3 linked regions of the Danio rerio genome follow. Each later gene encodes a partner of the first gene's protein in a complex. Links are inferred from orthologs where the notes say so. Each region holds a gene or a part of one and is shown on either strand. Other genes may lie near its edges. The genes, in order: calcrlb, ramp1 and adma.

Region 1 (10,404 bases):
TATTTGTCTTAAGTCAGCTCTTTCAGGAAAGACACATGCTGTTCAGGCTTGTTTGGGAGCTTAGTATTTGCCATATGATCTATATGGGGATACACGGGTATTTTTAGCCTATTTGAAATTGATTTGCTTCTGTTCATTCTGAATTATATACTGAAATTGAACAAATTATCTGCATTGTAATATTTAACAGCAATCTTAAGGCAACATTTGAGTGTGGTGGACGAACAACAATGATCTTAAGTGGTAAGCCTAAGCTGTGTTTGCATATAGCTATTTAATAAGGTTTATGCACAGCTTGTGTTTTTCATAGGGTTCTTTTTACAGCATTGATGATGCAATGCAATTAATAACTAACCTACATTAATTAACTGTGTTTGTATATAATACTGTTTATAAATACTAATATTTGTTTGCTTCATTTTTCAGATTAATTAAGAAAATGTTCACAGTATTTTGAAAAAGAGGGGTGCTTTACTCAAGCAGATTTTTATAAAGAGAATGAGTGCAGGTATTTTTTATAATGTTATTTGTGTATTATTATTATTATCATTGATATTATTATTAGGCAATATTACTAATTTTACATTTTTGTTGCATCCGATCCACACTAATCATAGACTAGACGAGAGATGTCGTCGTCTGTTGCTGTCTTTTTGGAAGAAGAGGAAGAGCTCGTCCAGCAGTACATTGTAAGTGTCCTAAACAGTTTCAGATTTTTGTAGCTTTCAGAAAACTGCATTTTTATAAAAAAAAAAACAGAAATATAGCTCAAACACTACATTGTTGATTGCACTACATTTTGAAAACACTGTCCGTTATACGTCAAAATACTTGTGTGCGTGTGTTATAGTGTCAGTCATCAACGTCTACTCAAACATTTTGAAGAACTACTGTTCACAGAGATACAAAGAAATTGTTTATTTCCTTAATGTATTTCCTTAATTTGTTTTAATGAACCTTAAACATTTGAAATTTACAATTGCATAATTTCATAATAATAAACTTACTGTTTATTTTACAGTGTGGGATTGCACATAGAATTGCTGTCTGTCAGAAGGATGACAAACTATGAGGACTTCTGCATTTTCTAGGAGGATGAGTGTGACACGGCTAACTAGGAAAATCTAGAAATGCTGAACTGGATTTATACAAGTATTCCCTAAATTAAAATCACCCCAAAACAAACTTCATTACTTACATATGACTTCAATAATTTCAATATATATTCACATATTTGCAAATAACAGTACAGCCATTTTACAAGGACATTTACATTCTACCTCACTGGTGTCAATGTTTGTTGTTTGACATTTACTTAATAGGACATTTAATAATGGGACATTTACTGTTTTAACATCAAATTACTGATTCTAAATAACCTTAAGGATGAAAAGTTTTTCGTCTCTTAAAAGCATTTAAGAGTATTTGCATTATAATAGTTTTGTATAATCAGAATGATCTCAAAATGACAATAATATTGCTTATCGCAGCAATTTCTGTAATAATATATCGCACAACAAAAAGGCTTTATGATGACAGGCCTAGACATAACTTTTATTTCAATCAAATATCTTTGGCTGTTATATACAGTAACTATGTTTGAAAGTTATTCTCTCTGTAATTTTAAGTGTTACATGCAAATACATGTACATTTGTATCAAAACGCGGTGTTAAGTGATTATTCATATTAACCCTCATTTATGTAATAAACAAACGAGTTGAGAATCAAAAGAGATGTGAATGTGAAACCATAAATCAGAACCGTACTGCTCTTAAAGTGACAGCGCACAATATACCTGCTGCCAACTTTTAATGATTAATTAAACAATAAAAGGACAAAATCACTCACTGCTCTTGAAAGCATTTAGGCCCACCATAACTTTTTTTTGTCATCATTGTATTTTACAGGGAAGCCAAAATGCTTTTAAACATGTGACTTGAATGACGTGAGAGGCGATCTCTCTGCATCTGTTACAAACGTTGGAATAACCTACAAGTGGGTCGTGATCCGTATGAATCACTGATCACCCATGATTCGTTACACGCCTACTCAGTAGAGCTAGTGACATAACTGTGAGGGGTGGGGTTTAGGTGTACATTTAAAAGCTCATTAAATGCATGTCTGAGCATAAATGTGGACTCGGTCTGCAGACTCTTCTCAACCATTTGGAATATTAAGTTTTTTTGTTTTTTTTTTACATTTTACAAAACCCTGCTGCTGCCCAGATGGAAATGTATAACCATTCCAACAAAAGAAAGTACGGTCCAGACCTCTGCTGATAATGAAATACAGAGACCAGACCTCTTGAAACTTTAGTTGAATACAGTACCTCTGTTTTAAACGTACATTAAATGACACTTGAGTTTGAGCTGGACTAACTAGTTTGATATTTTATGAATAAAATGACAATGCTTAAGAAATTAATTTATGTTCGGTCTCATGATCACCTCAGCCTTTATCACATCAGATGCATACACAGTCAGACAATTTTCATATTTTCCAATGTTACAATGTGGATGAAGTACTTGTGTGGATAGAGATCCATTTCAAATGACACAAACCTATCAGTATCAATGTAGATGAAGACAGGACCCACTCAAGACATTATTTTTATCATTGTCTTTTTTGTATGCTGAATATTATGAGAAGCAAAGCTCAATAAGAAACGCAGAAGTCAAAAGTTAAGTTCTTTGAAAAAGATGATGATTCTTTGGAACTATGAAATATCAGCAATGATCTCTTCCCGTGAAGTGCTTTGAATTGTGCACTTTTTATTCCATGTTTGATATAATCTTAAATGAAAAATGAAGAGAGGCTGGTACAAAGTGTAGCTTCTCCCTTTTATTTTTTTTTTATTTTAAAGTCAATAGCATTTAATTTTAATCACAGCTCTTCCAGTGAGAGTGGTTGAGATCAAGCAGAGCAAATGAGAAGCAAATGAGAAGCGCCTCGAGAAGCAAGAAACGAGAAGGGGCGGAGCCTGTCAGATATTGATTGGTCAAGATTTAATGAGAAACTGAAGTATGAGGTGCCATGAAAAAAATAGATTCAATTGGAAGCGACAAACTGCGAGCTTTGGATGTTTATATCAGTTTTAGATTTTTTAAATGCACACCAGCTTTCAGATATCCATAAAACTGAGTAAAACTAACATCTAAAAGGTTTTATTCTAATTTTATGGGACCTTTAAGTGCCTCTTGCAGATCAGCACTTCTTAATTGTATAATATAATATTATCTTTATCGTTTTCACAATAACAGAGGGAGATGATTAAGGAAATACTTTACAAAAAAAAACCCATAAACCACTCATTGAAACTTTTAAGAGAAGAAAAACAGCTATAAATCTGGTGCCATTCAGGTTTAGGCGGCAGACATAAATCACTTAATAAAAGTCATTCTAATAGGAATGTAAAAAATGAAGTGTTTTCCCAGACATTTTGGATAATCGGATGACCCCAGAACTTGGTGGAAAAACAGAGGGCCTAAAGCTTGATAACATTTTGCCCTTCCTGTGAAGCTGAAGGAGTGGTTTACAGATGTGACATTCCCAGAGACCCTTGTTTAATACCCAGAGTCTCCCACCTACTCCCTCTCCGCCATTCTCTCTCTGTCACTCTCTTTAAACTGGGCCTGGTTGCGAAAAGCCACCCTCCAGGCCCTAAATCAGAAAGCCCACTGACAGATAGTTTAACTCATGTCCGTTTAGGATACACCCAAGTATATAGCACCAATTTTTCCACTCCTTACTACGAAGGATTAATTTTAAAGTAACACAGCACAAAGCTCTATCCGGCGGAAATGATCAAACTCATAGAGATAACGCACAGATATCAAACAGTCAAAATATATATTCATTCATACATTTTCCTTCGGTTTAGTCTCTATTTCAAAGGTCGCCACAGCAGAATGAACCACCAACTATTCCAGCATATGTTTTACGTAGCAGATGCCTTTTCAGCCTCAACCCAGTATTTGGGAAACACCCATACACTCTCATTCAAACACACACTCATACACTACGGACAATTTAGTTTATTAAATTCACCTATAGCGCATGTGTTTGGAATGTGCGGGAAACTGGAGCGGTGAGAACATGCAAACTCCACACAGAAATGCCAACTGGCCCAGCGACCTTCTTGTTGTGAGGCAACAGTGCTAACCACTGAGCCACCGTGGCACCAAAACAAATGTAATAAAATAAGAAACATAATAAATGATGATGCCTTTTAAAAAGGTTTGCTGCCAAAAATTGTATATATTTTATGTTGGTGTGTGAATTCCAAATTAACACTTTATTAACAAACAGTAGAGTACTTTAACCATTTAATGTACAAGCTATAAAATATATATAGATAAAATAAGCTTAGACGGGTCACTTTAGACCCATGTAGTGCATCAAAGGGTTAATACAATGTAAATTATGTAAGCAGTAAATTTTCATTTTTATGTAATGGTTAAACGGTTCAATGGTGTTATATCATAAAATATAATAAGTTAAAACCATCCAATCTATCTAACTGTATGTGAAACATTTATTAACTTTGATTACTTTTCTAAGACTAGGTCTTTAAAACTTGTGCACTTATTTAAGCACTTATTCATACATATAGGTAATTATATATACATTTTTATTTGAATTATATTTTATATACATTAATTGATATATTATAAAAGCATTTAAGAGTATTTAATTGTAAAAATAAATAATACAAACAATAAATAAATATTTTCACAATATTTGCTTGCTGATAATTTTTTATAAGCTTTTATTTAATTAAAATTTCCTTTAAAGGTTTTTAGTATTTTGAATTAACATTATATTCATTATTTTATTAACCGCCCAGTCAGTCTTTTACTGTATTGTAGGTAAAATGACTATGATAATATTTGATTATTGTAACAAATTACATCCTTAACACTAATAAAAACACTATATAAGGTTTAAACAAACTAGTTTGATAAAACCAAACTGTCTCGACAATTAATTGGTATATTATAAAAGCATATAACTGTAAAAAATAAACATTACAAGCAAACAATGAATATATACACAATATTTGCTTGCTAATAATAGTTTATAAACTTTTGTTTTATTACAATTTCCTTTAAAGGTTTTCAGTACATTTTGGATTAACATTATATTAATAAATGTATTAATCGCCCATTTATCCAATCAGTCTTTGACTGTATTGGAGGTAAAATTACTGTAATAATAATTGATTGTTGCTACAAATTATATCTTTAACACTAATAAAAGCACTATAGCAGTGGTTTTAAACGAACTAAATTAATAAAACCAAACTGTCTCAACAACTAATTGGTATATTATAAAAGCATATAAATGTAAAAAATAAACATTACAAGCAAACAATAAATAAATAAGATCAATTCATATTTTCACAATATTTACTTGCTAATAATATTTTATAAACTTTTGTTTTATTACAGTTTCCTTTGAAGGTTTTCAGGACATTTTGTATTGAAATTATATTAAATATTTTATTAAATTGCCCAGTTATCCAATCAGTCTTTCACTGTATTGGAGGTATCGAATAATGTATTGGATAATGACTGTTACAGTTTTGCATTATAGGCTAGTGTTTAATTGTTTTTGTTGTTTCTTAGTGTAAATGTGTTGTTACAAATGACAATATTGACACTAATGAAAGCATTAGGTCTTTAACAAACTTGTTTAATTTAACCAAACTGTCATTCTCGACAAAATAAAGGTGATTAATTCAAAGCTGACAAGCAATCTGAAACTTTTAAACTTTAAAAGTTCTTTAATAACAAGCAAAATGACTAAACTAACTCGTTTAGAGTGATCCAAGAGGCTATAACAACAATTTAAATACGCAAATTAATAATAACGTAGCCTAATGTTGAAGCTTTATATTCTAGTTCTGAACAATATGCCACATCAAGATGAAGTAAAGTTTGCCCAATTGCTCATAATATAAAATCCACTGTCAATAAAAAAGCGTCATAAAAGTAGGCTTATTCTTGGTGTGAGAATAAAGTGTGTCTTACCACGTTAGCTGCTGTGTTCTCCGCGGTGTGTAGAGCAGTGCAGGAGATGTGCTCGCTGATGAACTGCGGTCCCTGAAGCAGCAGAGGATTGTGTGGAGCGGGTTTCCTGTGACATCACTGCTCATCCGAGTCTCAGTTACACCGAACAGGGGTGAGTTCTGGCCAGTTTACCGGTATAACGACGAGGACTAGACTGCGTATGCTAAAGTTAGCCTACAGACAACGTAAAACGCGTCTAATATTAAATACAATAATCCAATAAAGTGATACATTAACAAAAATTTAACTCAAGATTGTGTCAGCTATTTCACAGTTTTTGTTTACCTATTAGTAAACAAAATACTGCCTATAGGACATATCCTACTATTCATAAAATCCAGTTTAAATGACTAAAAACAACGACATTGCAAGTATAGCTACACCTGAGCTAACCATTGAACCAATTATGCAACATACGCATGGATTTGTCGAAATACACAATTATTATAGCGCCCCCTCGTGTTTTAGTAGGGACACTGATATCAGTGATTGGCTCTATGGATCTAGTATGGGTAACCTGGGTTACAAGTAATGTTGTAGCACAATAAAGCTTACAGGTTTGTACTGGCTGCTCTATACATTCTCAAAAACCTACTGGGGTGGTACACTTTCAAAATCGACACGTTTGTACCTAAAGGATCTATATTGAACATTTTAGTACCTAGTAATGTTAAAGGGCTTGCTGATGTACTGTTTATGTACTATAACCTTTAAGGCAAGCCCAAGCTTATTTTATAATTTATATAAGAATCGATTTAAAAACAACAACTTAAAGTGACCAAGAGCTATTCTCAAATCGAGGTCACTGAATCTTTCTGATTAGTTAAACACCTATAATAAATAAAAAAAAAAAAACTCAAATTAACACTAGTCAACAGTTACGCACCCCTGCTTTTTTGCCTTTTAAATGTGAAAATTGTAGTATGAAATAATATAGTTCATCTTTATACAAAAAACAGTACTAATAGAATACTACGGTTGTCAGAACAAAATATAGTCATATAAAACTAACAGTTAAGTCAAAGTAACAAATATCAAACCTGAAACACTTGAGTTTTAAAAAATGTTTCAGGCTTGGGTTTGACGGTTATTATTATTAATTAATTTGTAGTCTTGGCAATATCACTTCTTAGTGAGCTTCTTGGAATCATGTCACAAGCTACTAGAAAAGGGATGTCCAAATTCGGTTATGGAGGGCTGGTGTCCTGCAGATTTTAGCTCCAACTTGCCTCAACACACCTGCAACGATGTTTCTAGAAAGCCAAATAAGAACTTGATTAGCTAGCCCAGGTGTGTCTCTATGGGGTTGAAACTAAACTTTGCAGGACACCGGCCCTCCAGGACCGAGTTTGGGCACCCCTGTACAAGAAGCTTGCAAGCATCCTTTAAAACCATTGTAAAAACGATTGTAAAACCATTGTAAAACGATGTACACTCCCTCTCTCTTTCTCTCTCTCTATACACACACACACACGCACACACACACATACACACACACACACACACACACACACTCAATACATATGCACAGGATACACTCTGTACATATGCACACATGACTCACTATTTGCATATGCACACATGATACACCCTGTAACATATTGACACAATACACCCTATACATATACACACTCCATACATATGCACCCATGAGACACTCCGTACATATTCACCCATTATACACTTCTTACAGATAAATACACATACACACTATACATATGCACACATGACTCACTATATTCAAATACACACACCCTATTCATATACACACAATACACCCTATACAGTTATCCACTCCATTTCAGACTGTCATTTCAGACTAAGACAAGATGATTTTATATCTATGTATATCCAAAATAATTATCAAAATATTATATTTACTGCTTTTGAGACTTCTAGCTCTGTAAAACCTTGCCAAGATTAACATTTTGCCACAATAACAAATCAAAAATCAAAACAAATCAACCATGTTTTTGCCACGTAAACAAATGTTTAACCATGCATTTTTAGTAGGCAACTGGGGGAATACAAATGAAAATGAATGTCAACGACAATAGTCACTAGTGGGTAAATGGATCGACATGTATTGTTTTCCCTGTGACATGATTTAAAATTCCAGCTCAAATCCTTTGTCAATCCTTTCCCTCTCTGCTCCCCACACATTCCTACCTCCACTCTACTGTTCAATACAGTAAAGATGCCACCCCCCTCACCCCCACCCCCCGAAACTCTCAAATGCTTTCAGAAAAAGAAAATCAAGCTGTAGAATGGCCCAACCAATCACCTGACATGAATTCATGACTGTATATAAAGCATAAAATGAAACAGAAGAACTGCTTCATTAACAAATTAAATTTGGTTGTCCCAAGCTTTTAATCTGATCCAGTTGTTAATCTCAACAAGGCTAGACTTTCTCTGTCCTTGTGTACTTTCGCTTTATTGTTAACCTTACGATCTGCTCTTTATGTCTTGATGAGAAAAAATGGAAGCCAGGGTTTTAATGAGGGCATTTGGAACATTGAGAGATTATAATTCATTTGTGGGGACTGTGTGGAAATGACAAGTATGACAATGTAAAGCACTTCTCATTCATTTCAGGGATAACGTTCATTAAATATTAAAACCTGGCTTTAAAAGGAGACGTGTGACTACACATTTAAAGCTGTTAACATTAATACGTATGATGAACCTCCATTAAATGAATCATCACACAAAACAAGAAGCCTTAAATTACTGAGAACTAGGCTTTAAAAAAAAATTAGGGATATTTCTAAACACACTACAGTATATACACTAAAACATCTGTAAATTAGCAGTTTTACATATTTCATCTCATCTTTTTTATTATTTATAAATGTATATTTCTGCTTTGGAATTGCATTATGACACCTTGATCTTTCTTCCAACAATTTTTAACCTTGAAAAGTAAAAAAAGTGACTTTTATGAGCATAAATAGATTAAAGTGGGGTTACACAATATATATTTTAAGCATCAACATTGCAATTTGGCATTCGTAAAAGGACGGGCAATGTCAATTTGGTACACTCTCAGAAATAAAGGTACAGGAGCTGTCACTGGGGCAGTACCTTTTCAAAAGATACATATTTGTACCCAAATAGCCCACAATGGAGCCTCAAAGGTGCATATTAGCACCAAAATGTACCTGAAATGTACATGTGAGGTACCATTATGGAACCTTCAGGAAACACCTCTTGTGCCTTATTGCGCAGGGTGTATGATAGGGCCCTAAAAGTCAACAGAGCGGAGATCAACATCCCATACTGCAATTCACAACCATAAATAAATGGAAAACACTAGAAACAAGTAATGACTTATTGTTTTTTACAGTGTATGCAAACATGTACAGCGACTTTCTGAACAACTTTGACAGGAATACTTTTGTTGTTTTTCTAATACAATTAGTCATTTACAGTGAACAAAAAATAAACGACTATGTCTATTTCGGGTGCTTTATTTGAGCAGGTTGGTTCACTGGGGGCTGCAGAATCAGTTGTTACTCTTGATCCTTTCTCTTCCTCTCTGGGGAGATGAGAAATTATTCAATCTGCGCATTATAGAATGCTCATTGAGCTACTGTCAATCATCCTGACTGACAGCTGGGCACTCCCACTCCTGCTTTTTGTTTTCCCAATAGAACAGGATATGCAAATCAACCTTCTGCTGACAAATTCAAGCAAGCACTGTTGTTCCATATGTCAAACATTTCATTAGAAGCTTTTTTTATTATTATTTTGGTATAGTATATACACCATAGTATATTTCTATCTATATTTATCTTTAAACTAATATATATGTAATTTGAAAGTAAAACTGCAACGTTAACAAATGTTAGAAAACATCAAAACACTAGAGGGAGCTAAACAATCAGTCATAGGTTCACAGTGTGGTTGTTGTTTGGCATTTAAAGGATACTGGGCAAGCCTTATTAAAGGCTGTTAATAAATAAAATGTATCCATCATATTTATTTTGTAAGTGCACATTTTCTTCAACAATGGTTTTGCGTTTTGATTTCAGATAATCAATTATTTGTATTAATACTGATATATTACTTAAAGTGTCAAATCACTTTTATTTAAGTTTCTGCGCACCTTTGGAAATTGTTCTAATATTTAATATCTTTATGTTGCATGTAGCAAATTACAAACAAGACTTACATGCTTTAAAATGATAGGATGAACAGTGCTGTATAAGTACAAATTAAATAAAATGAACAACAACAGCAACAAAAAGAAAACATTTATAGCATACTGTCCAACAAGTTGTACTTGTCACATTTAAAAAAAATATGTATAGACCCTTAACTCTTTCA
Region 2 (10,291 bases), on another chromosome or scaffold:
ATTTAACACATCTAAATTGTTTGCAACAGTTTTGCAAACATTTTTTTTTCAGTGTACTGTACATACCACCTAATTCTTAATATTAGTAGACTGTAAGATCCCCAACCTTAGAGTCTACAAATACTCTAATAAGAATTAGTGTAGAGCAAGGGTCAGTGCAAGTTGAAATGTACAGTACTCAAAACGTTTCTTGTAGTCAGTTGAATGTCTGTTGGTATTGCAGTATCAGCAGATATTATGCAAGCAGCCTACGAATACTTTAATGAAAATTAGCTGGTATGTAGTTGCAATGTAAGTATACACAATAGTCAAATAATAATAAACAAATATTTTTAAAAAGTCCATAAAAAATAAAGTGATAACAATTTTTTCATACTAGGGTCTGGGACCAACGAGGGTGTGTTATGGTGTCTGTGTAAATGTTTAAAGAAAAGCATTTTAATTGTTTATTTATATTTGATTATTTGATTTAAATAAAACAAACAATTATTTTGAAATTAACAGGAATTTGATTAAAATAAGAAATTTAATGAATGAAAGAATGCAATACTATAATGATTTTAATTAATGCAATTAAACAAATCTACATAAACCCATTTGCCCTACTTTTAAATTGTACAATGTGGGTCATACACAAGCAGATGATCATGTCACTATCTGTGCATTAAAGTCAATGGATTGTTCCAGCTACTATAAGTATGAAGCAGTCTCTTCTACACTCCTGCAGTCACATGCACCACATTGTTTTACACTGTGCATGTTTGCCACTGTAATGCAGGGTCAACAGCACAAAAGCAGTGTTACCCTGGTTTTGGAGCAGGGTTTCATAACCCTAGGTAACACTGCTTCTAAGTGACTAGTGTGTGAATCATTCTTTTACATGGAAGCATTGCTTACATGTTTTCGTATTCACACATCTCCTGGCCAAACAGAACATGCATGTTTAGGCAAGTGAAGCAATGATTCACTAAACATATTATGAATAAAAGGTATTTATGAATTTATGAAAAACAACGCTTTCAGCTTTAATGGAAAATATTATGTCTCACTGCATGCTAAATCTTCTGCTATATTGACAATAAAGATAAAAAAATCATTGAGAACGATTCAGTCCACTTTTACAAGTGACTCAAAGCTAACGTTACTGAGATGTCTTCAGATTATGTCTAGACTGTGTGTTCTAATCAGAAATCTGGATGCATTTGAACTGTTCAGCTCCAACAGTCATTGTGCACCATCAAGCATGCTCGGTTTAGTCCAGCAACCCTCTAAATAGAATTGCAAACGCTCCGTTTGCAAGACGAATTCCACAACAATTATCAATCAGCATTAAATTCTTTGCACACAATGCTCACTAATGCACTTAGTTTCAAGACCTACTGAACTGAATCATCACAAGGGTAGAACTGCTTAAGGCAGTGCAATGGGAATGAAATACAAAGCAGTCCAGACAAGCGCGAAGAAATAGAGCAGCCATATATTCATCTGCTCTTGTTCCGGCTGTCGAGATCTCCACGCCCACTGCCATCAGGTTATTCACCTCAATCAGAGAAATGCACCGGGCTTCTCTGCATTTAGAGAACTAGATAGGATGCATCTTTGTGCTCCCCCTTCATAGTGTTAATGTCTCCTTTACAGTATTTATTGTTTTTATCAGACTTGGACATGTCTGATTGCCAAGGCAGTGACTCTCAAAAGATAAAGTATTCTGTGTTTAAACACAGTGAATGTTTTGTTGGGTTTATAAAGTGTGCTTGGCATTTTTCTCTCGGCTCGCATCGCAACAACCGCATGAAGCCCCTTTTTTCTCTCTGCCAGCAGTGAATAGTCATGATGCCATCAATATCCTAGGACTTCTCAGACTCCCATGGTGCATCTGTGGGAGAAGATTGACGCAGCCATTTATAAAGAGTGGGAGACATCTATTTAAAGGGAAAAAAAGGAGGAAAGCAAAGGAACCATCAATGGAAAGAGAAAAATGATAAGGAAGGGAATAGAAAGGGAAATAAACTAATTAAATAAAGAAAAAAAAGTAAATGGGAAAAAATATGAAACATTAAAGGGAAAGGAGGGCAGAACAGTGGCGCAGTGGGTAGCGCTGTCGCCTCACAGCAAGAAGGCCGCTGGTTCAAGCCTCGGCTGGGTCAGTGGGCATTTATGTGTGGAGTTTGCATGTTCTCCCGTGTTTGCGTTGTTTTCCTCCGGGTGCTCCGGTTTTCCCCACAAATACAAAGACATGCGGTATAGGCAAATTGGGATAATTGGGGTAAGTGCATGTGTGTGAATGTGTGTATGGATGTTTTCCAGTGAAAGGTTGCAGGGACTAAGCCGAAAAAAATGAATGAATTAATGAATGAAGGGTAAAGCAAGGAAAGAAGAACATATACTGTAAAAGGAAGCCAATGTAAACAGGAAAGCATAATATAACCTGTAAAGGAAAGTGAAAAGAGAAAAACAAAACCTGAAACAAGAAAAATAAAATAAAAGAAATAGGAAGGAAGATAAACAAGCTAAAAAAAAGGAAAGAAAAGGGAAAAATATATAAAACTAGAAAAGGAACAAAGGAAATGTAAAAAACCAAAGAGAAAGAAAATCAAAAGAATAGAAAAGAGAAAAAGTAAAAACAAAACCTGAAACCAGCAGAAAATAAATTTGAGGAAAAGGACAAAAAGTGAGAAACAAAGAAAAAAGAACGGAAAAAGGAAAGGTAATATAAAAGTAAGCCAAATAATAAAAGGGAAACCAGCAGAAAAAAAAAGAAAAATATATTTATCCATTTTACAATTTGGTTTTCTTTTATATTACCTTTCCTTTTCCTGTTCTTTCCTCTTTTCTTTTTTTATATTTTAGATTTTTAAAGTTACATATGCTTCCATTTTTTCTTTGTTTATACCGCTTTCTGTCATTTTCCTTCAATTTTTTTTCTGCTGGTTTCAGATTTCAAAACAGAAAAGAAAAGAAAATAAACAAGGAAAAAAGGAAGCATCAAAACTTCAAATATCCTAAACATATATAAAAAAGGAAAGCACGGGAAATGGAAAGGTAATATAAAAGAAAGCCAAAGTATAAAAGGGAAGGCCAAGTGAAAATCAAAAAGAACAGAAAAAAGTGAAAATAAAATCCAATAAAACAAGAACAGGTCAGGTAAATGTCTGGATAGTCAGATAGCTACTACATTAATGCAGGTAGATTAACTAGCTTTATGTTTCGATAAAGAAATTGAGTTGTCTTTGGCACAACACATTTGTAAGACAAACCTGACCATAGAAAACAGAGTTTACACTACAGCACCTTTTAACCTTTTGTTTAGAGTCATTTGAAGCAACACTGAACAATGCAGTGCAGTTGGAATACAACATATGGCATTGTGACCTATTTTGAAATGCATATCAAAGTTTTTGTTCACATCTTTTCGCAAAGCATAAAACACGCTTCATTTCAGACCTGGCCATGGTTAACAGACACTCATCCTGAGTTCACTTCCTCAGAGTTTCAAAGTCAGAAGATTCCCCTGCTAAATCTACATATTTTATAGCGCACTCACTGCAGTGAGCTTAACTGGAGCAGAAGTGTTTATCCAAGAGTCACAGATTTTTACAGGCTGATTGCATTTTTTTTCTGCAGTTGCGTGAGCATAATGCCTTTCTCTTGTGTGAATCCATTAGCACCCTGTTTCCTTTTTTGTCACCCAAACGGATGTTTGTTACTGTCACAAACAAGAAAATGTCATATTTCTCACTGTCAGGTCAGTTCATGTCAACAAATCGCTTGCAGTTGCATTGAAATTCTTAATAGACATTCTTCCACAAAAGTATGGCATGAAGCTTTGGCGAGTAATATAGCGGTCCCAATTGAATGGTGACAGAAAATCAAGGAAAGCAGAGAGCTGCTTGTTAGTCATGCTCGGCACAGCTCAGGCAGCTTGTTAAGGTAAGTGTGAAATGAATTCTTTCCAACAGGAGGAGGTTGCCATGCATTATTAATTAGAAAATTAGATAATTGACCCATACGTGGGAGGGCTTGTCACTTATGAATTTATGTCTTTATGCAAAATTTTCAACCCCTGTGTATTGTGAAAAATACCGGGGTCAGAGCATTTGTGTTTTTTTTTTACCAAAAAAGCATTACAGTGGCGATCAAATTAATTCATAGTTTTATATGTTTTCTGTCAACACTTTCAGTGCTTACAACTGTGCGTAGTACCCAAAATCAAAATATATTTATATAAAAATTAGTTTTTTAGACATTTAAACAGTAAAAAATAAATGAACAACAATGGTGCAACATATAATATCAGCATAATAAACAATATTCTTACAGCAAATACTGTTAATTAATAATGCTACAAATATATTTGAAAACCAACTGCTTAAGAAACCAAGCCATATTTTTATTATAGTACTAGTGTGTAGCTAACCTGTTTTTTGGCATAACCACATTATATATAATTAGTTTCACTGCAGCTACAGTTTAATTAACATTTTTAATTTTTAGTTTTATTCGTAGTAAACCAATGGTTAATTTTCATAAGGCACTAAATAAAACGTTTTCCAAAATATTTGGTTCTATAAATACAAACTCATGCTTTATTATAGTTTAATCGTTTAGTTAAGCGTTTAGTTAAGTGTTAAAATGACAACTACAACAAAGTTCAATGTTATTTACGGTTGAACAATAAATAAATAAAATAAATAAAAAACAGTCAATATTTGCTTAATTGTGTTAACATTTGCTGAGGAATATCCACAGTGACTAGCGCTAGTCCTTCAAACTACATAATACTTTCTCATTTGTTTCAGCTTTTTCTACTTTTTTTTTGTATTTTCTAGCCTTCATGGAATTTAATAACATGCATAATAGGCAGGAATGCAGGCAACAAACAGGACAAACCAGTTTAACTTACCAGCTACCAAGACGAAAAGCGCGTGTCTCCACGACACTGATGCCATGACGCGTCAATGTCAAACACAAGTTTTTTTTGTTGGTCGGTTAATCGTCGCTATTCCTTCACAGCTAGACACATCTGAGCGTCTGTCAGCTAATTGTTCATACAGTTTCATTCAGCGCTGGTTCTGCACTGAAGACGTTGAAGGAAGGAAGAAATCCTCTATTCCACTCAGCCAGCATGCCCTGTGTTTCATAAAGTACTGCTTTAGCGTCAAAATAAGCCCAAACGAGCACCTGTCTGAAGCGGGTCTCGGGTCAGCTGGAGCGCGCGCTCAGTAGTTCTCGTGGTTGGTCGGGCGCGCGGTGGCGGCGCGTCTACTGAAAGATGCGAGCTGCGCTTGTGGGAACATTATACGAGAAGCGCCTCCCTCACTGCTCATCAACTTATGCTAGCTAATAATAAACATCAAACTAATTGATTGCAGAAGTGAGGAAACCACTACGATTCACTCTGCGGTTAATGAAAAGGAAACATTTGCAGCCCCAATATCATGCAAGGTTTTAGTGTTCATTTTGTTTCTTCCAATTTTACTCCCGTCTTCTTCATTTGCAATTTATAAATAGTGAATACACCCAATGCTATTAATAAATAAATAACACAAAAGAAATTCGACTCGAAACTTTCTGTGTAGCTTACTGGTGCAAATTTTTATGTCCAAATGTAAATTCGTAATTTAGGAAACCAGCCCCAGTAAACGTGAGATGATACGCCATCTGTGGTCATAATCTGAATTACAGGTGCATTTGCCAAAATGATTAGTTGGTCTGATCATTAAAGCATCAGCAGCAGTGCTGCTAGAATTAAGTAGCAGAAAAACGAATGGAATTTTCTTAGTGGGGCTTTAGCATTGCACAATAAATTTATAAAAAATTACAAATTTAAGATTTGTGACAAAACGTTTCTAAGTTAACCCTGTGGTTCTAATACATATTTGGTAGGTTTATTATGAGTTGTTGATATTTTACACAGAAGTCAAAAATTAGGTTACGTAGGATTGGGTTATATGCTTATATGTAATCTTAAGCGTATAATCAGACCTAGAAAAATACATATTTTAGTTCGATTGTGCATCAAAAAAAGTTCATAATCAGTTGCCTTTTTAACTACATGATAAAATTATTGAAATAGTTCAACCTAATACTCAATTCAAGCACGACAAGAAAATACAGTACCCAATAATAATTCCATTCAAATCTATTAAATAAATGAGTTAGGCCAAAAGTAATCTAAAAGCAGTTGGAATACTTTAATGTGTGTAATTGTTCCAATATTCATAATGAATTGTAATTAAACCATTTATCCATCAATGGGTGAAAACTATTCATCTAAAGCAGGTCGCACACCAGAAGCGCCACTCGGCGCCGCGACACGGCGCGTACATGACAGATTAAAGTATCGCACACCAGACGCGCACATTCGAATGATATTTAACATGAAACTAATCAGATGGCGCTCTGTGGCGCGGCTGAAAAATGAACTGCGTCCTAAAGCAGGTCGCACACCAGAAGCGCCACGCAGCGCCATGTATTTTAGAATTCTAAACATAGGTTTCTATCAGGATACACACACCGGCGCCGCAAGTCGGCGGCTGTCGGCGGCGCCCGGCGACGGCTCAGGACGCAGTTCATTTTTCAGCCGCGCCACAGAGCGCCATCTGATTAGTTTCATGTTAAATATCATTCGAATGTGCGCGTCTGGTGTGTGATACTTTAAACTGTCATGTACGCGCCGTGTCGCGGCGCCGAGCGGCGCTTATGGTGTGCGACCTGCTTAAGGGTCTTAATCAAGTTTTTAATTCAGTGACTAGCAATAACAACAACAAAATATGTCCTTTAGAAATGTTATACAAATCCTTTAATCCAAAAATGTTCAAAATAGGGCCATGGTAACCTTTAATTTGGCCCACCATCCCATCTGACAAGAGAATGAGAATGATGAGCATGGTTTATAGACTGTCATTTCTACTTAATCTAACTTTTTGTTTGTTTGTTTTGTTGCTAAGCCCCCCAAAAAACAAATGGAAATTACATGTTTCAGTTGAATGAATTAGATTTTTTTTAAATGCACATACTGTCACCCGATGGATTGGGCACAATGCAGAGAAATCAGTGAGCAAATGGGAACAAAAGCTGATATTGCTTGACTAGTGTACTCAGCATTGAACTCCACTGTGCTATAAAAAATGTGACTGTATTTTCCATTTTAATCAAATTATACTGCTTTAGCTACTAGGATTTTAAGAAAAAAATTATATTTTTTAAAAATTATGAAATAAATTAGCAATAGTAACTTTATAGCCCAATTATATTTGGTTTTGGCCCCCCTGCTTTAAATAGTAATTTACTAGATTTTTTTTTTGATACTGTAGTTTTTTTACAAATACTACTGTTGTCAAATAAATTTCCTACTTTATGGTGGGAAATATTACCCTGTGTGTTTGCCACTATGTGAGCTTCCAATTTTGTATACAAGCCTGAGGACCCGAGCGTGATCCTATCCGACTGGTGAAGCTCTCTGGCTCCACCTGCTGCCACACTGGACATTTCATCCTCCCTGTGAGGGGAAACGAACAACCACAATTACCCAATGATAAATACATTCACTCATAAAGACTTGAATAATTTTTAGTTTTACCTGAGTAAGTGGCACCTCTGGGTTAAAGGAAATGACAGCATCACGTTTATGTTCAGGGAGCATTAATAGTTGGCTTCTACAATCCTTGACACTCAATTTTCATGATTATTTTGTGCACAATTTGCTGTTGCTTGTTGTATAAATGTGCATCAATTTTTTTTTCTGCCTGACCACACTTATTACACTAATACGGTTTAAAAATGATTGGTATAAAAGTTCAATATAACTCAATACACAGTAAAACCCAAAAAGTTAAGGTAACAAACCATTTGAGAAAACTGATAGCAACAAACCATTTAAGTTTAAAAACTAATCTTAATGAGTACTTTGAACTTAGTCCATTTGAGTAAACAAAGCAATTTGAGCACAGTAAAACCCAATAAATGAAGAGAACTTAAACCAACTGAGTACTGTAAAACCCAAATTATGCCAACTCAAACTGTTTAAGGAAACTGATTGAAACAAACCATTTAAGTTTTAAAAAACTAATCTATATAGAAGTACCTTGCATAAACTTACTCTATTTAAGTAGACGTAATGAGGTATTTAATTAACTCATTACCTTCAACAGTTCAAAACTCTTTTAAAATGAGTAGAATTAACTTTCAGTAAATTTGAGTTAACTACACTCATTTCGTTTGATTAAGTTAACTGTTGGGTTTTACAGTATACCTTTACATTACTATGCCTATCAATCAGCAAAGTTTAAGATTAAATGAAACAATTATTTCCTTGAAGAAATAGTGTGAGTGGAAATTTTTCAGAATACTCCAAACTGTACACACAAAAGCACTAGTCAATAACCATGTTAAAATTCCCTTTACTCAAAGAACGTCTCACATCATACAAAATGACAAGGCTTACAGTGTATAACACTTTTCAGCGTATCGAAATAAACAGATCACTGCTGACATCTACAGATCATTAATATAATATGTAAATAAGCCTACACTGAGACGCAGAGAACAAACGTGATTAGCATATACATATATTCCTGCTATAACAGCTTTCTGTGATTGAGCATTTCCAATAATCAGAGCATGAATATCATATAAACACCTTTTCAGAAGTTTAACTTACAATTTCTCGCACAAAAACTGCTTGTATAAAAAGTTGATAACTGACCTTTAAATATTTGATTCCAGTGATTTCAGATCCAGTGATTTATAGCGAGAATGCAGTTTTCAGTGTACTGAAAAATAGCAGCAATTGCTTATGGAGTTTACACAGGAGGAAAAGAAAGGGTTAATGAAAGGCCTCTAGTATCACACCTAAAACATTTTAGCTGGTTACGTTGTCCAGTTTAATACTGCACAAGTCAGAGACGTCTCAGCTGCTCCTGTATCTTCTAAAAAATCAAATTCAGCATCTTTAAAAAAATTCTGTCATCATTTACTTCAAATGGTTCCAAACGTATAAGAGTTTCTTTCAGGTCAGTTTTTGATCCCCATTTTGCTTTTTATAGTAGGGACAAAAATGGGAAAACCAGCATTAAGAGGGATTTGGTTACCCACATTATTCAGAATATATTTAATATTAAACAGGAAACTCAGCTTTGGAACAACTTGAAGCTGAAAAAAATAATGAACCTTTTCATTTCTGGGTTAATCGACCCTTTTAAAGCTGCTATTACACACTACACTGAATACTCAGTGAAATATGTCAGTTAAACAGATGACAAATGACATTATGCTGCAATGAGTTCATGTCATGTACATTAAAAAAAATATTATATGAACTATTAAAATAAGGCAGGTCATAACTACAGTGTTTGGATAAAAACAGCATTGATAAAAGATCCAAACAGCAGATCTTGGCTCAGCGACTTGACGACTGCATGTTGGCCAGTGCTAACAGTGCTCTAACAACTGTGCAGTTAAGAGTAGTACTTAAAGCGCAATAAGGAATGCTGCTATTATTCATAAGAACATAAAAGAAAGGCAAAGATAAAAATAGAACTTCTGCATGAAGAAAAACAGTCAGTGATGCGCTCAGTCGTCCAATCAGAAGATCTGAACAAGAAGTGGACAGCAAGTAGATCAAACATTCTAGATGATCAAACATCCATTCACAACAGGAGCGGGTCATCTATGTGCTGCTGCTGCTGCTGCTACAACAAAGAGCTGTATAGAGTCAATCAAAAGAGGTATAAGAGTTATAAAAGGAAAGGTGGTCGTCAAACACTGAGAACGTGCTGCTAGCCCTTCAAGTTCTCTTATTTGTGGTGAGATCTGGGCTCGTGGATGCCATCTGTTCTCTATGTTAGCCCAGCACAGTTGTCTGTTCCTGCACTGCAAGGGCACTGGAATGTGTTTGACTGGAATGTCGTGCTCAAAAGAAATGTTTTGATGGTCCAAGGTACAGGTGCTGGGCATGTGCTTGAGGCATCGCTTTCAGAGTTCAGTGGTCAGTAGACCTTTGGGCTTGTGGTTGTTGTCCTTGGTCGAGTGAGCCACAATGCTGTCAAAGAATCAATCAAATTGTTTATTAACTAGTAAATGCAGATTACATTTTAAAGAAATTTTAAAGTTATAGTATGCTACACTGAAAAAAAATGTGTCATTGCAAATTGTTGCAAATAATTTATACAAGCTGAATTTAAACAAATCAAGTTGAACATGACTAAATTTATTCGTTTGTTTAAATTCAGCCCATTTAAATTGTTTGCAACCACTTAACATAAAACAATTTATTAAATCCCATGAATAA
Region 3 (10,351 bases), on another chromosome or scaffold:
CCAGGCCGTATCCTAAGCTGATGCTGTGGTCATCATGGATGAATGGAGTGCATGAGACTGATTCCTGAAAAACCACCATGACAACGAGTTCTCGTATTGATCCTGTGGGCCAGCCTGAACTTCCGCCAGTGCCCTACTCAGCCCTGCAGCTTCTCCACGATGGACGTCCAGCTTCTCTTCTTCACCTAGACTGCAGCTACACACAGGAAATTTGGCCAGAAGAATAATGGTCGTGCCCAACAGAGCCTAGTTTCTCTCGAGTTTTTTTTCCCTTCACTTTGTTAATTGGTGAAGTTTTTTTCCTCACCACTGTCACCACTGGCTTGCTTGGATCAGGACTTGTGGAGCTGCGCTTCGGTGGATTTGCTCCACAGTGTTTGAACTTTCAGCAGTAAAAATGAAACCACACTGAACTAAACTAAACTGAACTTCAACTCTGAAATCTGAACTTTACTAGAAATATGTTAAGCTGCTTTGACACAATCTACATTGTGAAAAGCACTATATAAATAAACATGAATTGAATTTAATTGAATTTAAGAAAGTAGTCTGAGAGGATTTTAGCTTTGTGACTTGGAAATAATAATATAAATCAACCAAATTTGAAAGACGTCCATCCTCCCTTGTATAAAAGATTTGTCCTACCTTGTAAGATTGTCCTACCTCCCATTCAAAAAGTAGGTAGCACATTTTGATGACGCATAGGCCCGTAGCCAGCCTGGTGAAAGGGGTGGTTCTTTTTTTCTCAAAAGTGGACCTTTTTGCAGATATACACCTTAGTTTCTATTTAACTATGAGATTTAAATACTGCATTTTAGTATTTTTTTTTTTTTTTTTGCTGGATTAGCTAGTCAGATGTCATCATAACCACACTTTTTGATGTACTAAAAATATTTCCTAAAGAATTGCAATAAAAAAATAAAACAAGACATATTTGTTACATCATATATCATTAGGAAAAAAATAGCAATCTGTTAAAGTTTTAAAGTAAAAAAAAATTTGTAGCCTACTGTCATTTACAGTTTTTCTCAGACGCTTTGGTGAATTTCTCAAAATATTTACATTTGCACAACAGTTAATGCAAACTGCAAAACAATGAGTGCAAACTGCAAAACCTAGCTGATAACCTGCAAAACCGTGTCACATGCTCAAAATGGATAGTTCATTCCTCAAAAGCAAGTATTCATATCAATCAAAGTGTCAGTATCATCAAAATGAAAGGTCCTGACACCATTGTTTATGAACAAGATAGTCAAATGGCTTAGTCATGTTTTCATTATGACACTTTATTCTGTACATTTTTTCAATGCAAAAAAAGTCAGATTTTGGTGACACTTGCTGAAAATGCTCTAGACAGCACTTTGTACTATTTGCACAGCCATTTAAAAACTACAGTAAAGTTAGACATCACTATATTTAGTGAGGCATCTGAGTACAAGACACTGAATATGTATGTTTCACATTTTTACTGCACATGCTCTTTACAATCCTAATTTATTCACAGCATTGTGCAAAAGAATAAACACACCCTTATTTACAACAAACATAAACTCCCTTTGGGTAGAGCTGTGCACAACTGTAAACAATATTGCAGAACATATTGTAACTGAGCCTATAACATACACAGGTCTGTAAATCATTCATCAAATTGTTCAATTTTAAAGACATTTTCAAGAAAATAAAGATTAAATTGTTTTTTATGAAGTTTGCTTGACCGATTTTGACATCAAGTTCAACATTTTTGTATGTAATGACTCAAGTAATGTAAGGAGGACTATTAGTTTTATATTGAATGACTATTCAGCATTTACAACTTTAGTTCATTTTGACTGACATGACATAAGCAGATGATAATGTTATAAACAGCAGAGAGTTGTATGAAAGCAATTGATGCATGTCCAAAAGCATTTGCAATTTCTTGAAAGGAATGAGAAACTGCTACTAGGATGTGCACAAATGACTAATTGTTTTGAGAAATGCATGACCTGTTGTGCAAATGTAAATAGTGTTGTGAGAAATGCACCAAAGCGACTGAGAAAAACTGTAATAGACAAAAACAAACCATATTCAAAAAGGCCAGCACATTCAACTTTCCTTAGTCACAACTTGGCCATTTCATAATAATAATAATAATAATAATAATAATAATAATAATAAAACAATAATAATGAATTCTTCAGAATTAAAAAAATAGTACATTTAAAAATTCCTGGATATTAACAATAGCCAATATATTTTTGTGTGCTTCTGGTGCTTCACACCTTTTTATTGCTCGTTTTTATTTCAGAAATAAGGTCCAAGATTTAGAATAAAGTTACCTGTAAAATGTTTTCTCTGTTCAAAAACAATACAGTAGTGAAAGAAGACTTCTCTGACAGAAGATTCCGTTTGGTCTTAAAGCCTTTTTCGATGAATTATTTTTATTATTTATGAAGGCACAGCAGTCAAAATAGGACAAATGAGCTCATATTTGGGACAAATTCTGGACCTTTGTCAGTTAGGGGTGGGTCCTCCGAACCTCCCAGCCTCAAAAACACAGACATGACGGGAATATATATTGACTATAAATATTTTAATTATATATTAAATATATTATATAATATTAAATTACATAAAATATATAAACGGACAAATTTTGGACCTTTAGGCCGTTCGAACCACTCGAACCCCCCTGGCTACACGCATGAATATGCTACCCCTCAGATTTTGCTACAAGTGTAAATTTTAATGTGTGATATGAAGCTGTAATATCGCACTAACCTACCTAATCTACACATCAGAACTATTCAAATATAGTGTTGGTAGCATAATCTGATGGGTATTAGGCAAATAACTAACTGTCCAGCGCATTCAACTTTTCCCAGTCAGAATTTGGCCATTTCAATTACAAAAATAAAATAATAATAATAATGTAGAGCTTTACACTTTTCTAGCCTCTCTTGTAAAAAAAATTAAAATAAAAAAATAGAAAAAAAGTAAATTTGAAAATTCATGTAACAACAATAGCCAAAATAGTATTATTCAACTCCATTTTACTATGGGCCGCTTTTGGTGCTTTTCGGTTTTTGTTTTTTAAGAGTAAGGTTCAAGATTTGTTTTCTCTATTCAAAAACAATACAGTAGCAAAAGATGACTTCTCTTACATCAGATCTTGTATTTTCTCGCACAGCTGGATGTTGGACTCATGAAAAATGTATTTGTTAGCATTGGACAAAACTCATTAGCTAAAGTCACACCGAAGCGGATTCAGATTGGTCTTAAAGCTTGGCATAGCAGTCAAAATAAGACAAATTAGCTCATGAATGGGACAAATTCTGGACATTTGTCAGTAAAATGTTGACACTATTCAAATGTCACAATAAAAAGTGATACTTATCACACGTTCCAGTATTGTCCACCAAAACATATTTCACACAACGTTGATGATATATTCGGTCATTAAATTGGTTAAAAAAAAATCTAAATATCCAGACTCCAAAGTTTAAAAGAGTTGTGTTCATTGCTGGTCCAAATTCGCTGACAGAAGTGGTGAAGATTTATGAGGTGTCGATGAATGAGGGAGATGGCGTCAGTCCCAGAACACATTTGCAAAATCTTAGCAAAAGCCCGCCAACTTAAGTAATAATCACCACAAGGTGGAGCTAGAGCATTAAAATAAGAAGACAAGATGAAGACCGCGTGCCTGCGAACGTTTTCAGCCACAAGGTCGGAAATATGATTTATTACAGCATCTGACCCTCTTGAAAACACCTTAAAAGTTTATTCAAACACTCATTTTGAAGAAAAAGTCCAAATGTTTCACTTGGGGCTTCAAATATTTCAGCAACCACAACATTTTAAGGGAGTGCCTATTTTCAATTGGCAGCTAAGAAAAAAAAAAACTTGCAAGCTATAATTGTTCACCTGGGGAGGTAAACAGTGGCAGTATGTCCAGTAGAACACGGAAAAAAAATAGGCTATTTTTAGCTTTCTGACATCACAAACATGTTAGCATTTCATACTAATCAAGTAACACTAAATACCTAAGCTTTTATAGATTTAAAAACATCTAAATTTTTGATGAAGGCAGTTTATAAATAAAATTCAGTAGCAGAACCGTCTTTGGTTTCAACCTGTATTCAGTGGACACTTGTTAAATTGAGATTATCAGTGTTCTTCTGTGTACGTGCTCATTTGTGATTAGCATCATATGGTGCTTTTAAATTAGGGTTACAGGGGTGCAACAGTAAAAGAGTGCATTTCAGAAGTTCCTTCTCATTAAGATTGGAATGAAAATGATGTGTTGAAGTGGAATGTGGTATGGAGCGCCTCTCACCTCTGCTCTACATCCAGAAACCCACCCCATGTAGAGCAGCCATTAAACACAACCCTAGCCCACTCTTCCTTCAGAAACAGATTTCTCCATCTACTACCTACTACATCTAGAGAAGGTATTGAAACAGAAAGCACTTGGCACCCTGTTTGCCCTCCAGGCCCTTTAACATGTAATAACCCAGACCAGGTGTTGATCATCTGTCTGTCCACTTGGCAATCCGGACGAGAAACAATGGAAAGACTTTCCTTTTACTACCTTCACTTCCTTTGGAACAAACAGACAAGCTCCCGAAGACGTCAGCTTTAATTGTATGCAAAAGTTTATTGAATGACAACATTCACATTTCACAGAAACACACAAATAAAATAGATCCCATTTTACACACACACACACACACACACACACACACACACACACACACACACACACATATATATATATGCATAAAAAAGTTATCCTATACCACAGCTTTTTGACATGAATAATATATATATAATGCTACCTTCAATGCCCCTAATATTTTTGATCCCTGTACAAAAATAGCTCTCTGGAAGTAGTACAAAATTATATAAAACAATTAAATAGTGATATTCTTCACAATTTTCTTTTCAAATATACATATACTCGCAATAATATTAATAGATAGAAGTAATAGATTGCACATATCTCTTTACAAAAAACAACGACAACAATGTTCAAGTAAGTTCGAGTGCAATCCTTGTGGACATATAACCAGTTCTAATAACCAATTCAATCAGACGATCATCCTGCTTACAGTGTCCAAACGTGCGACTCCAAATTAGAAACACCCTCATTGGCATCTTCAAAGTCGTTCTCTGAGTGTGTATTCCATTCTGGAATCTTGATTCTTTCCCTGTTATGTCCAAAGTCTTTCAGGACACAGTGACACTGGTCTAGCACAACTAATCCCACCGGCTTGATTACCAGGACGGCAGTCCCAAGAGAGGAAGTTCTGCTTTTCCCTGAGGCCAGTCCACTTCAGTGCAATGATATCTTGCTTATATCCAAGGCACACTTGTTCAGTTGCTCCATTTGCCTCCCTGCTGCTATTGTTTCTTTGCTTCTCTTTGTGGAGTTCCCCATCGAGGGCAGCCTTCAGGAGACTGGATTGCTCTTCCAGTCGCTGTGCTTGGACAAGAATGCGCTGGAGAACTCTTGGCAGGAGTCTCTGTCGCCAGGCGAGCCTCTGTCGCCGCGTCCCCAAGTGCTCCCACCCCGTACGCTCACGTCCGTCTGAGCAGCGCTTCCAGCTTGTGCAGCCACGATTGAGAGTTTGAGCTGCTCCACACCATCCTCATCCCACTGCCATCCTTCCGCAGTCTCAAAACTTTCTCTGGAACGGACCTTCGCCGGCGGCCATACCCGTAGGGATTGATCTTGTCAACGGGTGCATTCCCAATCTTGAGTTTGTTGTTGAGGTCATGGAGACGGTGTGCCAGCACATGCACCGTGCAGGTGCCAAGCGAGCAGCCTGATCTCCTGGACTGGTTGATGGAGTTCTTGGAGCGTTTTGCTCTAATGCTGATGTCAGTGCTGGAAAGGCAGACAAGAGAAGACGTTAATGCCTGGCTGGTATTTCTGAGCAATTCATTTAAGTTTAATGTTCTAACAGAAAACGGTGACTTGAGTTGCATTTTTTCTTACCTGGAATGTGGCCTCAAGTTGTCTTTAACGTCGTCTGGTCTGACAAACTGCCTGTTTTCTAAAGCCCTCAGTGCAGGAAGACTCAAATCCCTTTTTGATCTCTGAAGCCAGACGCTGAGTATCAAAGAGAGGAAAGCATGTCCGTTAGAAAACTTTTCAAGCAACAGTGAACATCGGTACTGAATCAAGTCGTGACTTGAGTGCTTACCTTCTTTTCAGGTCATGCTTCGCACTGTCCACGCCGGGTGCAACGGCGGCCAGGAGGCAGCAGCAGAAGATTGACTGCAGGATCAGTTGCATCTTGATTGAAATCTTAAAGGAAATAAATGAATCGTCTGTTAGACATCAACCTCCAATAGTCTGAATGCAACTCCCCTACTCTGTGCCAACCATGCTTTGCTCAGGCTTGCACAAGAGTCCAAAATCCAAGCTATTTACACTCTCATCATGCATTTATTTACTATGTCAAGCTGAGGTTGCACTTTCTATGAATAAGTAAACTTGCAGCTATGCTTCAGGTCCCCAATAAGCACTAAATGATGTATATTCTTCCAACTACATCAGGCAACAAATTCTCTTCAATAAGACTACAGTTACACTTGCCTGGCTTACATGTGCAAAACTGGGTCTCAGATTTCTTACGTAACTACAGATAACCTGTGCATTGATCCCAAGCAAGTAACAAAAAGGCATATTTAGAAATGCATACCTGTGTTGACGTACTCTTGGGTTGGCCTCAGAAGTCTGTGTGGAAAGTAATCCAAAGGCGCTTGACTTGCTGGGAATGCTGGTGCAGCAGTGATACTCTTCTAATAGTCTGACTCTCCAGAGCTGGGGTAAGTGCATTTATACTAGTAGAGATGGGAGGGGCCGAGGCTGACACACTCTCTCATCTCAGGACTTCCTCTCCGTTGCTCAAGCTGAAAATCTCAAAGTACCAAAGAGAATAAGAAAATGAAACTGGGCTTATTGATGAAATTGCTTAATCAAATTTTTTCTTAAGGAAGCAATAAACCGCTGCCAGTAATCACGGGGATTTCTTTGGGGTATGCCAACGTTACTAAAAATTAGTTTTTTTTTTTTTTTAAACAGCATTGTTGATTGTTGTATTTGAGTGTTGTCTGGGGGTATGGCAATGATCTGTATGCTCCTTAAAGATAAGAAACAACAAGTATTAACTTGTTTGATGTAAAATATTATTGTTAAATAAAAAATCATGGCCAATGCATATAAATATAATACAATATGAAAATAAAAATGAATTATTAAAGCAGTTTAACTGTTTCAACTAGTACTGAGTGAGCTTTTGGTAACACTTTTCGACAAAGACCCACTGGTTGACATCAGTTAACGCTTTAATTAATATTAACTACCAATTTGCCACTGTGTTTATTCATATTTGTTCAGTTTAGTTAATAAAGAAGCAGTTTTGTTGATTGTTAGTTCATGTTACCCCATTCATTAAATGGCTTAAGGGATTTAATTCTGGGGGAAAAAATAAACCAATGCCAGTACTTGTGAATACTTTAGAAAATGACAACATTAGAGTGAATTTAGCCTTTTTTTCTGATGACTTTTAGACCTGTGTTGTTGGCTGGGGGTACAGAAATGATGTGTGCTCTTACAAAAATAAGAAAAAAAAAAAACAATGTTTAACTTGTTTGAGGTTAAATTAATATTATATTAATGCAAAATACGAATATTAATATCTTTATGCAGCTACACGTAACACAATAACATAACAACAACATAATTTATCAAAGCAGTTTAACTGATTTAACACAAAGTATCGTGAGCTTTTGAGAACACTTTACAACAAAGACCTATTAGTTAACATCAGTTCATGCTGTAATATTACCTAGCAGTGAGCTACAGCATACATATTTATATGTGTCTTTGTTTATTTTAGTTACCAAACATTGACTTGTTCATTGCAATTACATTTATATTAAATTATATTTGCTATTACATTTATTAAAGTCAAAAATTGATGCTATTAAAGTTAACAAAGACACAACAAATGCTTCATGATAATTAATCAGTTATCTAATGCTACCTATTTTATTTTTGTCAAATAAAGTGAAATATATAGATCATGACAATACTGAATATAATTAAGCCTATACATTCATTAAGCTGATACTGATAGTATTTTCTATGCAAAAGGGTAAAACTGTCCATTCCTGGATATGTAAACACAGATAAAGAGAGAGATTTACACTTTAGCGAGAATGCCTACTGACCTTCACCTAATTTCACTTTATACTACATCAAATGACTTGAAAAATAAGCAAATAAAGTTAATATGTGCATTCGGTTCTCCATCTAACAGCCAACGTTTATTAAACGAATGTCATCTGTTCATGTTAATTACTGCAGTCTTGATTTGTCCTTATATGGAAAGATTGCTCAACATCCACACACTCTCAGTCCATATATGGTAAATATTTGCTAAACCAATATGTCATAGTTATCAGAAGGTTTGCTGACATTTGATCAGGTAAGATGGGGGAACCCATAGTGGCTGCTGGGAGGTAGCTTTATGTGTGTTAAACGTTCAGGAATGCTAGCATTACAATGAGTCACTGAACACCCTGATGGGGCTGAGCTTTCAGATATTTAACGGGAATTTACTGCTGTTGTTGTTTTTTTTATTTTGGGGTTCACTGCAATGAGGAGAGAGATTATCAGAAATGTGACAACTTTTGATATAGTTTAGTTCACTGACAACAATTACCTTGGTATTTTTGTAGTACCTTTGTATATGTTATTTATACCTAATGTTACATGTCATGGTGTCTTATGCGGCATTATTTATTTATTTATTTATTTAAGTTATTTATTTAAGGGATAGTTCATCTATAACTGAAAATTCTGTCATCGTTTACTCATCACTTGTAACAAACACAAAAGAAGATATTTTGAAAAATGTTGGACACTTGTAAGCATTGACTTCATATTTGATTTTCCTACTATGGAAGTCAATTATTACTGGTTTCTAACATTTTTCAAAACATCTTTTTTTGTGTTCAACAGAAGAAAGAAAACTCATAAAGAGTTTAAACAATCACGTGGGTTTCCTCTGGGTGCTCCTGTTTCCCCCACAGACCAAAGATAGGTACAGCTGAATTGGGTAAGCTAAAATTGACTGTAGTGAATGAGTGTGTGTGTGCATGTTTCCCAGTGATGGGTTGCGGCTGGAAGGGCATTCGGTGTGTAAAACATATGCTGAATAAGTTGGCGGTTCATTCCACTGTGGCGACCCCAGATTAATAAAGGGACTAAGCCGGAAGAAAAATGAATAAATGAATGAGTTTGAACAACACAATCTCACTGCAATTCGTAACTTTTTTATTTAGTGGCTAATTCGTATGAATTTACACGATCTCATTTGTACAATTTAGTATGAATTGCTTAGTCCCCAATGAATGTTCACTGAAAAAAAAGATGTCTGCAAAATTGTTGCAAATAATTTATATATGTTGAATTTAGACAAACAAATATAATTTAATAATCTTAAATGTTCAATAATGTTGTTTAAATCCAGCAAAAATAAAATTTTCACAACCACTTAACTTAGAAAAAAATTGTAAATCCAAGGAATCATCGTTGAATCATTTCAGTGTTGGATTTAGGGGCGGGGTTAGGTGCCACACCTCCTTTTTAAAATTGTGCATTTACATACGACCGAACTGTTTGAACTTATACGAATTAGCCACCAAACTGACAAAACGTAAAATACTTACATTTCCTTGTGAGATCAGGTGGGTTTGAACCACTTGAGGGAGAATAAATGGTGAGTATTTGTTCATTTTGGGTGAACTATCTTTTTAAACTATTTATTTATATTGGTATGGTTTATTCTGATGGCTATTTTTAAATGATAAATGTAAATATTCATTGTAAATATACGTTTATCATACACTGCTTTTCTTATTTACAGTTTTAGTCTTGTTTCTAGTCTAAAATATTCTTAAATCAAGAAATATTTTTAGACAATCAACAACAAATTAAGAGATAAGTCAAAATTAAGTGTTTTCCCCTTAAAACAGGACAAAAAAATCTCCCAATGTGGTAAGTAAAAGAAATATATATATTTTTTGTCTAGAAAATTGTTTAATTACTAACCCTCAAATAAACTCAAATAAACTCAAATAAAAAAAATTCAAGTGAAATGTGAGAGCTCCCTCATCCTCCATAGACAGCAATAGACTTGCTACAGACCGCAACTCGTCCAGAAGTCCAGAAAAATACTCCAAAAATTCTTCAAAACAGATCATGTGCTTTAAATAGTATATTATCAAACTACAAGATTACTTTTGTTTGCGCATAAAACAAAAAGAACAACTTTCCTCTTCACAGTATCAGTAT

What was found.
Region 2: the proteins of calcrlb (region 1) and ramp1 are in contact, whole or in part, in a cryo-EM structure (PDB 6E3Y), measured with the Homo sapiens proteins. The link is inferred for Danio rerio from reciprocal best matches to the Homo sapiens genes CALCRL and RAMP1. Residues at the interface, in NP_001258680.1 of Homo sapiens: Asn39, Met42, Thr43, Gln45, Tyr46, Glu47, Tyr49, Gln50, Lys51, Ile52, Met53, Gln54, Thr68, Trp69, Asp70, Gly71, Arg113, Arg119, Thr120, Phe228, Leu231, Ile235, Thr239, Val243, Ala244, Gln250, Trp254, Tyr255, Leu258, Phe262; in NP_005846.1 of Homo sapiens: Trp59, Ile63, Tyr66, Arg67, Ala70, Phe83, Trp84, Pro85, Asp90, Phe93, Leu94, His97, Gly98, Phe101, Arg102, Cys104, Pro105, Ile106, Ser107, Gly108, Arg109, Ala110, Val111, Arg112, Asp113, Pro114, Ile118, Leu119, Phe122, Ile123.
Region 3: the proteins of calcrlb (region 1) and adma are in contact, whole or in part, in a cryo-EM structure (PDB 6UUS), measured with the Homo sapiens proteins. The link is inferred for Danio rerio from reciprocal best matches to the Homo sapiens genes CALCRL and ADM. Residues at the interface, in NP_001258680.1 of Homo sapiens: Val36, Thr37, Asp70, Gly71, Trp72, Asp90, Tyr91, Phe92, Gln93, Asp94, Phe95, Asp96, Pro97, His114, Ser117, Thr120, Trp121, Thr122, Tyr124, Thr125, Asn128, Val135, Ala138, Leu139, Leu141, Phe142, Thr145, Thr191, Leu195, Ala199; in NP_001115.1 of Homo sapiens: Cys110, Arg111, Phe112, Gly113, Thr114, Cys115, Thr116, Val117, Gln118, Lys119, Leu120, Ala121, His122, Gln123, Ile124, Tyr125, Gln126, Phe127, Thr128, Asp129, Lys130, Asp131, Lys132, Asp133, Asn134, Ala136, Pro137, Lys140, Ser142, Pro143.

Annotation. Positions count from the first base shown.
Region 1 is NC_133181.1:12,636,807-12,647,210, reverse strand, and holds the start of calcrlb (calcitonin gene-related peptide type 1 receptor), read right to left. Parts: upstream 6,099-10,404; 5' UTR 6,034-6,098; intron 3,289-6,033; exon of another isoform or gene 1,022-3,288; intron 690-1,021; exon of another isoform or gene 618-689; intron 509-617; exon of another isoform or gene 1-508. UniProt on the Homo sapiens protein: G protein-coupled receptor which specificity is determined by its interaction with receptor-activity-modifying proteins (RAMPs). Together with RAMP1, form the receptor complex for calcitonin-gene-related peptides CALCA/CGRP1 and CALCB/CGRP2.
Region 2 is NC_133184.1:30,533,983-30,544,273, forward strand, and holds the start of ramp1 (receptor activity-modifying protein 1 precursor), read right to left. Parts: upstream 5,268-10,291; 5' UTR 4,950-5,267; coding exon 4,904-4,949; intron 1-4,903. Other genes in the region: epb41l5 (band 4.1-like protein 5), read right to left, coding at 9,976-10,042. UniProt on the Homo sapiens protein: Accessory protein that interacts with and modulates the function of G-protein coupled receptors including calcitonin gene-related peptide type 1 receptor (CALCRL) and calcitonin receptor (CALCR). Required for the transport of CALCRL to the plasma membrane.
Region 3 is NC_133182.1:72,306,765-72,317,115, forward strand, and holds adma (adrenomedullin a precursor), read right to left. Parts: upstream 6,809-10,351; 5' UTR 6,690-6,808; intron 6,293-6,689; 5' UTR 6,281-6,292; coding exon 6,189-6,280; intron 6,095-6,188; coding exon 5,981-6,094; intron 5,870-5,980; coding exon 5,560-5,869; 3' UTR 4,612-5,559; downstream 1-4,611. UniProt on the Homo sapiens protein: Adrenomedullin/ADM and proadrenomedullin N-20 terminal peptide/PAMP are peptide hormones that act as potent hypotensive and vasodilatator agents. Numerous actions have been reported most related to the physiologic control of fluid and electrolyte homeostasis.